2 linked regions of the Lonchura striata genome follow. The protein of the gene in region 1 binds, or shares a complex with, the protein of each later gene. Links are inferred from orthologs where the notes say so. Each region holds a gene or a part of one and is shown in the gene's direction. Other genes may lie near its edges. The genes, in order: PAXIP1 and H2AX.

What was found.
Region 2: the proteins of PAXIP1 (region 1) and H2AX are in contact, whole or in part, in a crystal structure (PDB 3SQD), measured with the Homo sapiens proteins. The link is inferred for Lonchura striata from reciprocal best matches to the Homo sapiens genes PAXIP1 and H2AX. Residues at the interface, in NP_031375.3 of Homo sapiens: Phe871, Thr872, Gly873, Phe874, Pro876, Lys907, Thr909, Arg910, Thr911, Val912, Lys913, Pro986, Glu1050, Leu1053; in NP_002096.1 of Homo sapiens: Gln138, Ser140, Gln141, Glu142, Tyr143.

The regions. Positions count from the first base shown.
Region 1 is NC_134603.1:149,366,046-149,375,131, forward strand, and holds the start of PAXIP1 (PAX-interacting protein 1), read left to right. Parts: upstream 1-4,771; 5' UTR 4,772-4,997; coding exon 4,998-5,087; intron 5,088-9,086.
Region 2 is NC_134625.1:11,115,510-11,123,011, reverse strand, and holds H2AX (histone H2AX), read left to right. Parts: upstream 1-5,067; 5' UTR 5,068-5,085; coding exon 5,086-5,487; 3' UTR 5,488-5,773; downstream 5,774-7,502. Other genes in the region: DPAGT1 (UDP-N-acetylglucosamine--dolichyl-phosphate N-acetylglucosaminephosphotransferase), read left to right, coding at 375-462, 806-961, 2,115-2,180; HMBS (porphobilinogen deaminase), read right to left, coding at 6,561-6,734, 6,944-7,030. UniProt on the Homo sapiens protein: Variant histone H2A which replaces conventional H2A in a subset of nucleosomes. Nucleosomes wrap and compact DNA into chromatin, limiting DNA accessibility to the cellular machineries which require DNA as a template.

The DNA.
Region 1 (9,086 bases):
CTTTTACCACTATGTCTCACTTCTGACAAAATTATCCTTACATTAAGTTGTGCTAATCAAAATATTTTCCCCTCTGCTCCTTTATGCTCAGTTATAGTAAAGGTAGAACTTGCTACTTGGCACTTGCAAAGAAAGTTGTAACTATTATATTAAAAAAGAAAACTGTCAAGCAAATGACAAGGGATTCTCAGTGCAGTTCTGGAATTAGAAGAGAATCAAAAATGAAACTACCAGTTCCAAGGGAGCCTTTTAGGATTCAGCGTTGCTGTACAGATAATAAGAAAGTTTTTAATTATAAATCATATTTGCCGTTGCAAGCAGTCCCACTGAAGGAAAGAGGAAAAATGCATAGACAGCTCAAGCCAAAATAGAGCCCTCTGTGTACCTGTTTTGCACATTTTGATTCTGATTAAAAAGCAGATTTTATTCACATTAAGAAATGGGAATGGAGATAATGCAGGCAGCATGCCTTTAGAGATTTTCAACAACTTTCCAGGCTCACTGAAACTAACATCAGCTTCTGTGAAACCCTGCTTACTTTGTGAAAATATATTTTGTTGGAAAAGTAACATCTAGAGACCCAGCTGCTACCAAACAAGTATGTATTATTAACAAAGGACTAAGAAAGCCTTCTGCTCACAGGAGTAAAACAAATATACAATTTAATCTAAGCTTCAAATTTAATTAATAAGATAAAAAAATCAAGCTGTTGTTTTTTTCACAAGCAATTACGCCTAAATATGATATTGTAGGTGCATATGAATTTTTCATATAATCATTTGTGCACACAAATAAGGCATTTATGTAAGCATGCACAAATCTTGTCAGCTTGGTGGGCTTTCACCTCGTGCAAGCAACACACAATACAAAATTGAGATCATAGTTCTTCTGGAAACATGCTCATGAAGTTCTCTGTACAGAGCTCTTGTAGTTTAGAGATCAGAGGAGTCTTTCTGGCACAGATAATGGATTGCTCACATCCTTGTGGACTCTGGTGATGACATACAACATGTACATGGCCCGTGTGACATCAGCTCAGAGCAACAGGGACAGCACCGATGGCCTTACCCTGCTCACCCTCTGTGGACAATTTTGAGGCCCTGTGTGGTACCTTGGCTTGGGTTCCTGTGGGAGATGGATTTGTAGAGAGTTCTTAGGGCCTGGCAGAAGGCTCACACAGCATCCATCTGTAAACCTTGAGATAAGAAATGTTGATTTAGAAATGCTATGCTAAAATGCCTCTCAGTTGTCCCATCAGGAAAAGAGTATTGTCCGACAGGTTCCCACCCACCTGTCTGCCCCTGTGCCCATCTGGCTTGTGGAGAAGGACCCTTGGTGGGCTGATGGTCCCTGGGATGGGCTGGAAGCAGCTGGCAGAGGAGCTGGGCTCTCCCTCCTTCCACTGTCACTCAGCTCGTGCAGATGAGCTTTATCTCATAACCTGACAAATCCATTTGAGGCTAAATACAGGCAAGCACTTTGCTCTGCACCTGGGCAGTGAGACCAGCCCAGTGATTTGACTTAGTTCTGTGTGCTGACCTGTGAGCAGAAGCCAGAATTTATTTCTGGCAAATTCAGGGGATATTTTTCTTCTTCAATAACATATTTTTTGTGTTCAAAAACATACTTTTTCCATCTTGTTTTCTGCTCTTATGGCCTGGAAACAAGATCATACACGTGATGCAAAACCAGAGCTATTAATTTTTGTTAGAAATAGTCTAATTACTAGAATTTAAATAATTTCTTGACAGGTGACTCATGAAATACATAAAGAAGTAAAAAAATATGTTCATTAATTTAATTCCACTGCTTACTTAGAAGGTACTTAAAGGGAAAAACTTGTGACTCATGAGAGTAGTCTTTTTGTCTGGGAGTGATCATTTTGAAGACAAATTTTGAATAAAGAAAGCTATATTTTTAGTAGCACTGATGATAATACAACAGCCTCTCTGTGCAATCCAGTACTGAGATCTACAGAATTTCTTACTGGGGCCATTAGAACTCTTTAAACTGCTAGCAGGCAGGTTTTCTGTAGGGTTGTTGCTGTGCATCGTTTCATGGCACAGAATGGAAACTCCCCTGCTTTGGCTGTGCTGCCTGGCATCTGCTCCTGAGTTGGGCAGGATTTTCCAAGTTCTGCTTTCACCAGCTCTGGGGCTCTGTCCAGGAGCTGCTCCCAGTGCTTATTCATTTTGGGGAGGGACTTTGCCTCAGCAAAGTTATTTTTACTCCAGTCAGGAAGAGGAGGACAGACCCAAAAGTCCATGTCCCATGTCCCAGGTAGGCAACAACAACTTTCTCTATGCTATACAGGATCAAATTCATAAAACAGTTTTCTTCTGGTAACCCTATTATAGTTAATTCTTAACCTTTCTTTTTTTTTCACATTTCATTACACTTCCATACTGTGGATGGAACCACACTTTATTCTTGGCTTTTTACCATAATATTATTAACCATTAAAAACAATTATTTACCCTTAAGGATAATTACACTTACCTTTATGAATGGGTACTCTTTATTTGTGAAAAATTGATTTTGCAATGAATTTCAATGATTTGACACATTAATCCGACCTTCTATTTCAGGAGAATTTCAAAATTGCTGTGATTTAAAATGGAAAATCCATCTCATATTCTTCTGATTTGACTAGCTGAGCAAATGAAGATCCAAGGTGGTCCCACCCAATGCTGCAATAGCTGCAACTGCAGCTGAAAGTTTGAAAAATGTGTGCAGGTTGTTTGCATTATGTTTACTGCCAGTATTAGCATAATTTCAAAACTCCTGTTTTGAAATACTTGTAATCTTAAGAGTTTTTCAAAAACCCGAAAATTATGTGACTCTGGAAAACCCAAAGGACAGGAGGGCTGGAGGAACTCATTAGAGTAACAAAGAAAATAGGCAGAGAAGGGAAATCAAGAGGACAAACCCTTGGAGGAGAAATCTTTGGTTTTCTTTGTGTGGAGCAGGAATATGTGATAGTGTAGGGACTTAGATATAAGGAAAGTATTCCTGTGGGAAAGGGAAATTTCTCAGTGATCACACTGAGAAAGATGAATCTAAGTAAAGAATGACATCAGGAAGAGGAAAGAACTCAGAGAAGAACGTGGAGTAGAAACCTGAGAGATAGCTATATCTGTCAAAGAAAATAAGTGAAAATTACCAGTGCTGGAAGATGCAGATTATTACAGAGACAATGAAATCCAACAGGAAAGGAAGCTCAGGAAGCAGTAGTGTTAATGAAATCTGATAGATTAAGGAGAATATGAAATATATATTGCTGCAGGATTTTGGTCAAAGTGGTTCAGTTTAATGTGAAGAAGTGAAAATGGATCAAAGACGGAGTTGGAAAGAGTGAAAATTATGGAACTAAGAAAGCAAAGGCTGGACATGGCTATAAAGGAAAGCAGAGCTCAGAGAAGTCTTTTCAAAGGCAGTCCAAGACATACATGGCACAGAAGAAAATTAATCTAAACAAGGATTATTAGACAAGATAGGAAGTAAGATGAGAAAATGAATTGTTGAAAGAAAGAGAAAATATGTTTAAAAGCAGATGGTTATTTCTACTTTTTTTTCCTGCCCCATAACAAAAAAGTGTACCATATAAAAAAAGTTAAGGAATTTTTGGTTTGATTTTCGCTTTAAAAAGTAAATTTGATTGGGAGGTAGGGAAAACAGTTAAAACTTTCAACCAAGTGTTCTTTCTGGAGTAGAAAAAGAACTGGTGATAGGTTGGGTATTTCTTTCATAATTGGAATAGAAAGGAGACGATGTCATGTGGAGATCCAGGGGATTTGGGTGAAGCCTATAACCAGTAAAATATTGTCCAGTAAAAGTAAATAAATGACTGGGAAACCAATTTATGTTTCTACCATGGTTTCAAGAATCACATAGGTAAGAAAAATAGTTTCCTCCTGGGGAAGTGGGACAGGCCTTGCAGGCAGGAGGGTAACAGTATTTTTATTTTTACAGGTGCCCTGTATTTTTATTTCACTAAGTCTTTCAATGCCATCTCTTAACATTGCTCTGAGTGTGGGAGGGAGTCATTGTCCACTTCAAAGTATTACGAGGATGTTCAAAACTCTTTTGGAAAGCTGAGTGCTTATTATATAGATAAAATGATATATTATCTAATATTTGTATTTTAAACATCCTTGTCAATGCAGCACTGTTTAAAATATATGACATGAAGCAGGCTCTGAAAGTGCTCGTTTCTTTCTGTTGACTCCAACCTATAGAAAGTAATAATAATTGTTTTCTGTTACCTAAAATAGGTAAGACACATCCCCCTCTAGGTGGGAACGCTTCACTATCAACGTAGATGGATGCTTTGCAGTTTCTGAGGGAAAATACTTTATTTCGGTGGGGCTCGATGACCTTAGAGGCCTTTTCGCACCGTAGCTCTGATTTCGGGAGCAGTCGGTAGGTTCACACATGAGCTGGCCGGTGGAACAGACCCACGCATTGGCGGGCGCTGGCTGCGAGGGGCCGCGCCGCCATCGCCCGCGTCCCCTCACGGCGGGGCCGAGGGCGGGGCCTGGGCGCCCCGGGGCGGGGCCAGGGGTGGTTGCCTTCCCTCCCCCGCCAATGGGCGGGGCCGGGTATCCCCGCTGCCCGCCTCTGTCGTTCGGGGCGAGTCCATTGCATCCCGCGCGGGGGGAGCTGCGGACCCGGATGCTGCCTGCCGGTCCGGTTCGGGGAAAGAGGGAGGAGCAGGGATAGCGCCTGTGGATCAGAGGCGGGCGCGGCCCTGCAGCAGCCGTGGTGGCTGATCGGGCGGGGGGAGCCGCTTTGCGGGGGCGGCTCTCCCCTCCCCCTTCCACCCCCCCTACGTCCCGGTGGGGGATGGTGTGTCCCGCAGCGCGCGCCTTGCTCGCGCGGTTCGGCGGCTCTGCGGGGGGAGGGGGACGGGAGAGACCCGGGCCCCGGCGGGTTTCGCACGGTGAGCGCGGGGAATAGCGGGCAGGGGGGAGCGCCCGCTGCTGCCGTCCGGGACCATGTTGGCGGACGACGAGGAGGAGCTGAAAGTCCCGGAGGAGATGTTCAAAGACGTCAAGTTCTTCGTGGTGGGAGACATCGACCCCAAGGTACCGGGTCATCCCTTCTTATCATTCCCGCCTTCCCTTTCGTCTCCCCCCCATCCCGACGTGGGGGGGGGCACAGTGGAACCGTCCGGCTACCGCGCGCGGGCTCGAGGCTCGCGCCGCCTCACGGGGAAAGGGCGGGAGCGGGGGGAGCGCGCGCCTGAGGGACCGGGCGGGATGGCTGAGGGGGGGAGGGGAGGCGGCCGGTCCAGATCCCGGCCCCGATCCCGGCCCCGATCCCGGCTGTGCCCGCGGGAAGCGCCGCTGCCGCCGCCATGGGAGCGGCGGCCCCGCCGCGCAGGCCCCGCCGGAGCCGCCTGAGCGGAGGAGGAGCGGGCGGAGGGACTTCCTGTGCTGAGCCGGGCCGGGCCGGGCGGGCAGCGGGGGCAGCGGCCGGCGCTCCTCCGATTCGGGCGCTCCGCAGGCCCGGCCCCTCCCTGTGCCCGGTTCCGTACGGGTACGCAGGGACGGGCCGTGGGGAAGGCTGGTCACGGCGGGCCGGGCTGGCTCTGCCCTCCCACACAGACCTTCCCGCCTTGGCGCGGCCCCGAGCCCGGACCCGCTACCGCCCCGGGGCCGCCGCTGCGGGGCTGCTGTGGGTTAGGCCGGGGGCCGCCCGCCCCTCTCGCCCTGGGCAATGCAGGTGGCCTGGCCGTGAGTAACACCCGTGGTGGGCGAAGGTGGTTGAAACAAAGTTTTGTGGCTTGTCCAATTAGATGCTTGAAATGCAACCTGCGGAGGTTTAGGACAGCGGCTTCCTGCAAGCAGGTTACTGCCTGCTTCACGCTGAAGTTAAAGTTCTTTGCCTCTCTGGTAGTTGCTGTAGTAAAGTCTTAGTTCAGTGTTGGTTTCCTTTATCATCCTGTCCTGACGCTCACTAGCTGTGTCCTGGAGGCACAGTCACTGGCCTGTTCAGATGGATTTCATTCCTATTGTGCTAAAATAAATACAGTCTAGGAAGAATGCAGTTGACAGGATGAAAACTTCTTTAGACAGGTTTCTAGATATAAAACTTAGTTCTTTAGGCATTAGGTCTTTAGAGATAAATTTTTTGATAGTGGGTTAGCACTCAACAGATTCCTGTACTTACCAAAAAACCCTACAGCAGCAGTTAGTATTATGTGTATGAGGGTGAGTGCAAAAATCCTGTAGCACTGTTGTACATAATTTGTCATTGGAGTAGTGTCTTGAAAAGCCTGTTTTAGTCATGTGTTGACATGGGAGGACAATTAGCAGATTTTCCATAGAGCAAATAGACAAGCATTCTCTTAAATTGGTTTTCTTTCTCATGCTAAATTTTATTGTTCTTTGCAGTCAGAGTCATTGTCATAGAGCTTTGATATGCTCCAAATTTGGTGCATTGAATGTTCCTCTGCCTGGCTTGGAGGCTGAGCCCGGTCAGAGTGAGGAGCTGGGCTGGGCTGAGCTCGGGGCCAGCTCCTGGGAGAACCCTCTGTACCGGCTTCAGCCCAGCTGGCAGCTAAGCACAGCACAGCTGCTCTCTCACCCCCACCCCTGAGCAGTGTAATGGGGAGGACATTCAAAAATTAAACTTACAGGTTGAGATATAAAAGCAGCTTAATAATTGAAAACCAGGTAATGGTAAATAATTGAATACAATGGTAATGGTAAATAATAATGCTAAGAAAAAGGGAAATAAAGGAAACCTTAAGCAAGTGAGGCACAATACAGTTGCTCACCGTGCACTGACTGATGCCAGACATCATTCCTGACCCCAGATCAGCCCTTCTTATGGGTAACTCCCCCAGTTTATATAGTGGGCATGACTTGCTTTGGTGTGGTTGGCCAGTTTGGGTCACCTGTCCAGGCTGTACTCCCTCCCAGCCTATTTTATAACTCCTTACTGGCAGAGGAAATCACAAAAAAAGTAGTCCTTAGGATAAACACAACTTAGGAAAAACCAAAACATCAGTGTGTTACCAACATTATTTCCATTCTGAATCCAAAACACAGAACCATGGCAGCTACAGAGAATAAATTAACTTTATCCTTGCTGAGACCAGGACACCCTCCTGTGGGTGTCCTCTGTGGTACCCTGGGACACCTGAGTACGAGGAGCGTTTATCAGGTGTGTTTTGAGCCAAGACAGAATACAGAAATTGTAAACCAAACTCAATCAGTTCTTAGAGTGAAATTTGTCCCATGACAAATAAAAAAGTTACAAATATCTTTGGCACTTTTTACTGCTTCACATACAGGTGGATGCCAGCTTGATTTTGCAGAGAATTTCCTCCTTCATCTTCTGGGAAGGAGCACACTTTGATCAACTTAAATTTCTAAATAGTTTCACAGAAAACCAGTTACTGTAATAAATATTAAAACACCTAGCACAAGTGAGCATGCTAATCAAAACAGATTCAAGAGTAAGAAGAAAAAAAGTAATTTTTTTTCAGGTGAATAACTGCATACCTACATTAAAGCATGTGCAGCATAAATTGGAAGGGAAGCAAAAGTCTGGAGTTGTGCCGAGGTGTTCTCTGGCACATGGAGGAGTTAGGTTGGCTCTCAGCTCCAAACCCATTCCACTCCATTGGGTGCATTTTGCTCCTCACACCTTACTGAGAGTGATGAGAAGATGTCAGCTCCTCTTTTTCTTTTAATAAATGCTCTTTCTGCTTTCCTCAAATATAAAATCCCAAACCATCATGTTTTGGAAACACCAGTTAAAATCAATATTTGCTTCAGAAAGAGATAAAAAGTAATGCAACACAGCACAAGGTCTTTGAACAGGATATTTGGTTTTGGTTATCTTGTTTAATTTATTTTTATATGCCCATTGCCTTACTTCTTAATTTTGAACTATTCCTCTTGTTTCTTCCAACCCAGATTTTAGTGGGAGAGAAAGATAAAATTTTTATTCCTCCCCTCACCAAAAAAAAAAAAAAATATTGGATATAAACTAATACTTAAAATGCAGGATTTTTACATATTTTACATATTTTTAAATTATGTGTTCATATTAAGGCTTTTCAGCATTATGTTTTCTAGTTACAGGTGTATGGTTGATATAAATGTAAATGAGTTCTTTAATTGTGCCAACACAACTTTTCAGTCCAGGCACTACTTAATCTGTAGAAGTTGTGTATTTTAAGTGGAGTTTTGAAGTTTACGGGACCTAAATTAGGATGAGTCTTTTTTCATGACACATAAAATAATCAAGTGCATTATTATGTATCACATTTATAGTGTTTAAGCTACATGAAACTAGTGTAACTTTTTGTATAAGCAGATGCTTTGCACAAGTTCTGTAATGGAACATTATTTTGATATTAAAAAATATCATACTTTTAGCACATTATTCATAGCTACTTTCTGATGCTGTCAGATTTGGGCTCTCAGTTTTCATGACGTTCACTCCTTTTTTTAGCCTTCCCCTGAATGAGCAGTCTAATGGGATTGTAACTCAGGGAGAGCTGTGTGAGACAAGGAGCTCATGTGCTGAGACTGTTCCTAAATACCTTTTGTTTTCAAAAGTGCTTTATTTGGATTTAGCTTCTCCTTTTGGAATGATAGCATCCTGTGGTTCTTTACGGTTAACTGGATTTCATGAAGGAAGGTATATCATGATTTAGGGGATTGATATGCAAAATGGAAATGTTCACTCCTGTTTCTGGCAGTGGTGAGAAGAACAGCAAGCTCATGATAATTTTCTTGGTTATTTTAGAGTAGTTATTTTGGTAAGATTCATATATTGCAGAAAAAAATTTAACTTTTGTTTTCTTAAATGGAGTTTTAAAGTCAGGTACTTCTGTCAGGAAGTGCCTCCTCAGTAAGTGGGGATTTTTCTATCCCTGTTTTCTGCTTGACAGAAATGCTTTATAAAATAGCTTGATGCTATGTTTTAGAGTCTCTTTTTCAGTATTTCTTTATCCTGGTGAGTGTACAGGGTAGGGAGTAATTGCTTAAGGAACAATGAATTAATTAATACTTTGTTTGATGAATGCATTGCCTTGCTCTCTGCTGTTTACTGTTGTGGGCAGA
Region 2 (7,502 bases), on another chromosome or scaffold:
TGATGATTCTAAGCTACAAGATCAAGAGAAATTGACACTGGCTGCTTTTAATGCTGCGGCAATGGGATCTGCTAAGATTTCATAGTAGCAAGCATTCTGTAGCACTATGCCACATCAGCAGTTCTATCTGCAGATATTAGATTCTTCTGTTTTATTCTTTAAACTACAAAACATATATTGGAGGTGCAATGGGAAGGAGTCTTCTTTGCCCTACTTGAGGGGCTAGATACCAGCAGCTGTTTTTAAGTGCATTAAGGTTATTCCTGTTTTTTCCACCACTGGGTTTCTTTCTCAGCTATGGGTCTAAGTCTGCTTACAAAGTGATCTCTCATCTCCTTGTTGCATCTGGACTAAATTTTAAATGTTTCTTTTAGGCTTAATCCTAGTACAGGGAAGTTGGAGATGAGCTACTCCAAATTCAAAACTAAGAACCTCTCTGTCCTGGGAACAAACATTCTGAAGGTAATTTGTGGAAATTACAGATGCATTTTGAGGCAGTCATCAACTGCAAGAGAAACAGGGCGGGAGAAAATGCAGAACTTCTGGGTTCAGTAGTTACTGCCTGGTTCACATCTAGAAGAAAGTCTCTTACCATCTCTCATAGTCACTCAGTTTTGTTAAAAATCAGTCTTTCAGAATAACCACACATAGAAGTGCCCCAGGACCATCATATGTCTGTCCTGTCTTTTCAGTTAGAGCACAACCAAGATTTCAGGGCTGGTGCAGCAAAAGGGCTCTTGAGCAAGACTAGCCAGTGATCACCAAAAATACCTGGTGAAATAGCATGCAATACTTCTTTCCTCAGGTAGTCAAGATCTTGCACATAGTGGATGTGAGGAGTGGAACAGATGAAGATGGCGAATACACCGAATGCAGTAATATGACACTTATTAATTTTGTCATAAAGCTGATCGGACCCACCCACGAGCGAAATCTCACTCTCCTGTTGCTACTCATTCAGGTCAGACAAAGGGTTCCTACAGTAGAAAGATCTACTCTGCAGTAGAAACAGATCCAAGTCAGTCTCAAGAGTTTTAAGGGGAAAGTAAAATACTGTGCTCTTCACACAAGGTGCAGTTGAGCTGTGGAGCTTGAGGGGAGAATGAGAGGCTTACATACCTCAAGGAGAAAAGAAATCCACACACAGCTCTCTGTTCACTGAGAGCTTATAAAAAAAAGTCAGGAGGTTAGCTTAAGAAGATTCCCAAAGCACGAGTAATTGATTCCAAGGAAAACATGAGCACAGCAGAGTGCCTTGTCACTCTTGCTCAAGACAGCCTTTTGGTATGTCCTGTTTTTCAGTAATACCAAGTAACAGTCTCAGAGTTGTCACCAGCAAGTGGGCTTCTGTAAGCATGGCACACGGCTCAGCAGTTTCTCAGTCTGAGGGGCATGTGGGAGCATTTGGAAGCCACTTGGAGCATAAGGATATGCTTCACAGATCTTGCCACTGCCTCTATTCAGCATGTGAATTTTTGAGCATAGTGTAGTAAAAACATCACTTTTTGGAAAGGCCTGCATTGATTAACTGCCCACAATAAAATCCTTCTTTTCATCTTCAGATTTAGGATAAGGTATTCTTACTAGGAAAGAGACAGGCAGTTTCTGATTTGAGAGGAAAAACTTGCAATGAAAGCCTGTTGAGGGCTCAGGCAGATGACATCGGGGATGGGAGAAGACAGGAAGTACATAGCACTTACCCAGTCACAGCAGAGAAGTCCAGACAGCACCTTATAGTAAGGATGCTGAATTTCAGCTTTGACATAAGGTATTTTCTAATACAAACCACGGGGTTTATGTTACAATACAGGCTCCTTAAGGGAGAAGGAGTTACTCCAACTTTTATCTCATCCACGTGTTCTTAGAATGTGATTGTGTGCAGGAACATGGAGAAATCTCCCACTGATATCTAAAATCATCAGAGAAAGAAACAATGTCTTTGGTTGGCCTGCCATTTATCTTCCTATACCTAAAAGAAGTAGCCTTTTAGTTGCTCTTTTATGAAACAAGGCATACTGGAAAGTTTAGCAAATCCATTTGGAAAAGAGGAATCTGACAGCCTGTAAACCATTTGACAGTATAATGTTTCTGTTATGTGTCTGATTTTTACCTAGGTCCTTGGCAGCACGATTGCATTTTCAATCCGGTACCAACTAGTGCGCTTGTTTTATGATGTCTGACTGGACTGTTGGGAGCAAGGGAAAGAGTTCTACCTGCCATCTCCTCCAGTTGCTTGACCAAATGATTCAACTGATGTTGCTCCTGCCTTCTGGGATCCTCAGAATACCTGTCAAAATGCAAGCAACTGCTTTGCATGGGCTAGTTTTGAACCAGGATGTTCTTTGTGCACCAAAGGCTTTTGTCCAATTCTGTGGTAGAAAAGATTCACTGCTACTTGGACATCGGTGTTATTAAGAATACATTTTAGAGGGGAAGCAAATGACAGCACTTAGGGAAAGTGGGAAAGATGGAATCTCTATACATCTAGCAAAGTCATTACTGTTCACCAAGAGAGAAAACAGCAACTTTAATTTCTGTGAGGAAAATAAGGAAACCAGACTCCGTTCCTGGCTTCTCAATCCTGTTTTTGGTCCATGGACATAGAATGACATGTTATAACCCATACTCAAAGCTCAGAGTGCTCCAAGAATAAAACAATTCATGGTACCCTTTCCCCTGCAGTGCTTTGCCTCGACAATATTGACAGGCAGTGAAACTAGGTTATATCCATCTGTAGCTTTCTACCCTCTTAGGCAGTTGATCATTTCTGCAGTGGACTCCCTATTTTTTATGGCTACTGGAAATGTTCCTGCTGATGAGGTTTTAATTCTGAATACCTTTATAGTCTGCCTTCCTCCCTGGAAGAGGACATGCTAGCAGAGTGAGGATCACCACATCCTTGTCTTAAGAGGGAATCAATAGATCCTTTATTAATGTAGAACTAAGGCCCTGATTGGCTAACTGCCAATCCCTTTTCCTCGATTACAAATAGCTACTTATAGAGCAGTATTTAGCACCAGTTGAACACAGAATTGCTACAGAAAAAACATAGAACAGCCATTGGGGTACCAGATTATAGTCTTTGCACCTCCCAACACCCAAGTTCGGCTAGTAACAAGGCTTGGAATGCATTACCAGAAGGCAAAAATGCCTGTGTCCAGCAGCACTGATCAACACAGAAAACACACAGCACTCAAGTATGAATGGTACAAGTGGCTGAAGCCTCTTCCTTCCCTCCAGCAGATCAGTTTGTAAGTCTACTAGTACAGTGTATTCATCACCACATCCACATAGACATCATGAAATTGAAATGAACAGGGTCCATGCCTTTATTAGTGTTCAGCTCTATTAAAAAGTCAGCTCGGCACAGGGGTGGTGTAGCTTCTTCCGGTAGCCGAAGGGTGAGAAGGCTGCAGAGTCTGTCCCTGGAGTGGCACGCTGGTAGCCGGAGGTGCAGAGGTGTCCAGTCTGTATCTGAAGTCCCAGCAGACCATCCTCTCTCCTTTCCTCCGAAGGCTGGGGGGATGTGCAGAGCCTGCTGCTAAGGTCCAGCAGCAGCTATCCCCCTCCTGCCCTCCTGGTAACACCAGGTAAAGTGTCTGATTCCTTGTGCCTGCTTCCCACAGCCCAGTCCAATCTGGTCCTCAGCAGGTCATGGTGACAGGTCAAACACAGACTAGGGATGGGCTTCCCTTTTCCCCAACCAGCACACCCATCCAGCCCCCTCCACTGTGCCCCTCTTTTACATTTAGGGGTGTTTTTCATCCCCAAAACCCCCTCCCATGATTCCACTGGATTCTTCTGCATCCCAGTCCTAGTTTGGGTGGGGGTGTAGGTGATTCCCAGGAGCAATTGGGTAATTAACATTTCAATGTCAGTACTTAGTTCGAGCCAAGTGTCCCAGCCAGGCTGTTTTGTTCATAACAAAATCATTCAGTTCCTGGCCTTAAACAGTCTGTCCAGTAACCAGCTGCTAGATTTCCTGGTATCAAGGAATATGAACAGAGAAATCTCTCTGCTAGCTGACCTAGGAATGTGGCCTTCCAATAGGTACTTCTAGGACAGCCACTCCATTTTCCTCAGAAAGTTGGCTTACCTCCAGTAAGCATCCTGCTGCTCCCGTATCTGGTCCTGGGCTCCAAAGCCCATTATCCTACTTGCTGTCTAGGTCTTGCTCCTTCGCTAGGGATGACTCACACTTGCATTCCACCTAGCCCTGGGCCCTTCCTGCATGTGCTGAAGTCTTCCCATTTTCTGGAACGACACTGGCTGCTCTGATTTGTGTCCTAATCCTAGTTGCTGGCAACTGGACCTCCAGAGGCACACAGCATAGACAGTCTGCTCACTCTGGGGGAAAAAACATACAAGTTGGGTTAATTAAGACAGCACAGACTGCAGAGATAATTCTTACTGATCAGCAACATTTTAAAACATTACCACTTTCTTCACTTTTATTTTTCCTTCAATGTTCCCATGGGTTTTTTTCTCCTAGTCCACTTTGACTCCTCACTCTCCTTTGGTGCTTCTCTTAATATACCTGTATTATAAACCCATGATGTATCTCACACATTGACAAAAGGATCTCATGGTAGGTTTTTTCATATCCCTAACTGTTCTTCCCCCCATGTGCCACCCTAAGGTAAATGCCCAACAGACAGGGATACCTTTCAGTCTGTAGGCATCCCGGGAGCCCCTCTACCTTGCCCTGGGTGGAAGCCAGGCGCAGGGACTGTCCCCAGCCCTCATAAAGCACGGTGCGCCCTGAGGGCGGCACGAGAGGCGCGGAGGGACCGGCGGCAGCGCGCATGCTCGCTGAGGGCCGGCGGCAGAGCCCCAGCGATCGCTCGGCGTGGTTTAAATTTGGCGCCTCGCTTGCTGATTGGCCGGACCACGCGGCCAACACATTCAGAGCAAGCGCGTTGGTATCACAGAAGCGACCAGTCAGCAAAAAGCTTCTTCCGGCAAACGCACCAATAGCTAGGGGCGGCGGCGCTGTCCAATGAGCTGGCCCCTACTTGGCGGGAGGTTATAAAAATCCCGGCCGCGGCCTCCCGGGCGCATCGGTTCAGCAGCGCGGCGAGCGCCATGTCCGGCCGTGGCAAGAGCGGCGGCAAGGGCCGCGCTAAGGCCAAGTCTCGCTCGTCCCGGGCCGGGCTGCAGTTCCCGGTAGGGCGCGTCCACCGACTGCTGCGGCGCGGGCACTACGCAGAGCGGGTGGGGGCGGGTGCGCCCGTGTACCTGGCGGCCGTGCTCGAGTACCTGACCGCCGAGATCCTGGAGCTGGCGGGCAACGCGGCTCGCGACAACAAGAAGACGCGCATCATCCCCCGTCACCTGCAGCTGGCGGTGCGCAACGACGAGGAGCTCAACAAGCTGTTAGGCGGCGTTACCATCGCGCAGGGCGGCGTCCTGCCCAACATCCAGGCTGTGCTGCTGCCCAAGAAGACCAGCAAGAAGGGCAGCCGGCAGCAGTCGCAAGAGTACTAGGCCGGCCGGCCCTCCCGGCACAATTCAAAGGCCCTTTTCAGGGCCACCTCATTGCTCACTGGGAGAGCTGCGATCCGCGGAGGAGGCGGGAGGAGGGCAGGGCGCGAGAGGCGTGGCCGGCCGCGGGGAGCTGGGCCGGGGGGAGCGGGCAGTAACCGGCCCGGGGTCAGTCAAGACACTGAGCCTGAGAGCTGCTCAGTAAGGAGCCGTTATTTTCATTCCTACCTACCTCTGGGACATGCAGTGGACGTTGTCTGGAAAATAAAACTTTATTTACAAAACAGGACCCCCGGTGCTGTTACAGTATTTCTTCAAGGCACTGTAACAATAAAATCCTGCTCAGAGGATGCTGACCCAGTAGCAAGAGCAGGAAGCCAGTGTCTGGAATCTGGGCTTCTGCTTCAGCTCCCCCTTCATAGGCAAGTCTAGCTAATTGGCTCTCGTGACCTTTGTGGATAAACATACAAGGGAAGCCAATCTAGCTAGTCTAATATATATGTGTATGTATGTATTGTATCAATCTAATACCACCCAATTGGCTAGTATAATGGTGAACGTAATTAGCCTTTGCCAAGACCAAGGGTGAATGTAGCATCTCTGCTCCTTTACTATAAGGAACATGCTATCAGGAATCTAATGGGAACCTTTGGTGATCCAGTGAGTGAAAAGGCCCAGATAATGACTCCCGAAAACACTCAGCACAGTACGGCATTTTAGTACCAGCGCAGTTGTGTATCCGATTATAACCCAACAGGCACTCTGCTCCTAAATGGAATTGAACACTTAAAGGCTTTTATTTTATTTTTAATTTTTTTCTTTCAGTTCTCTAGCTACAAAAGTTGTTGACAATACTTCATAAAGACGCTTAACAATTTAGAGAAATGTGGAGAGGGATAAAAACTCTGAAGAGCAGAAACTACTTAAGTTAGTTAGCTTCATATTTCAAGTTTTTTGCACCCAAATGTCAGGCAAGACTGGTGTGAATGTTGAAATAAATCCCTCCAGAGGATCATGATGCAGCTGCACAGACTTGTAGCTAGAATTGTAGCACTCCTGCTGGCCACACCCCAAGTTCAGCGGGCATCATTGAGCTGCCTTGCCACGCTAAGGATATGCTTTGCTCCCTTGCTCAGAAGTAAACTAGCTAGTTCAACACCCAGGTTCTCTGCAGCTTCCTGGGCCTGACCAGGAACATTCTTGGCTGTGATGCCAACATGCTGCACATCATCATTTGGTCCATCTTCATTCTGCAAATACGAACACCTCAAAGTAAGGCAGCAGGAAAACAGTAGGCAAGGAATTAAGATGCTCATGAAAAACCTAGTCTGAAGAACCTCAAGAACAGTGTGCTGTTACAGCTGACAAGAAAACAGACCAAATATAATCCATTTCTAAAGGCCAGGTTTTTGTCATTTAGCTTCAGGTTTGAATTTCGAAGGCACCGTAATTCCCGTACCTGATGGGGATAACTAACACCGGTCTGCATGGTCTCCTTCAGGCTATCAGATCCATCCAAGCTGTAGACTGCTCCTGTCAAATACAACTTAGAAAATACACAGAATGGATTATTACCACATTAACAAACAAGCAGCCAACTACCCCCTCTTTAAAAAAAACACCCAATATACAAAGCTAAGTCTGTTGGGAAGGGCTTTTGTCATGCAGTGGGATCAGCATGAATAGTGGTATAATACAAGAAAAGTATTTCCTGTTAGGGAAGATACGAAGATATGACTTCTCAAGGAAAATGCCAAAGTTCTTTTCTAATTTCCCACCTCCTTATCCACATTCCACTGTCTAAAAACAAGTTTGGTAGGGTCAAAAGCAATACTTTCAGACCTCAGGACAGCATGAAATAAGCAGCAGGGGTGGAGAGGGGAATCTGGTATAATATTTAAGGGAATTTTCTGAAAGACAGCTTCAGTAGCTTGACCCATTCTTGCACTCCTGCTTTGGACACAAACACAGAAGGGTCAAGTCAGGAGACTATCTGCCCTACCTGGTTATAAAGATAC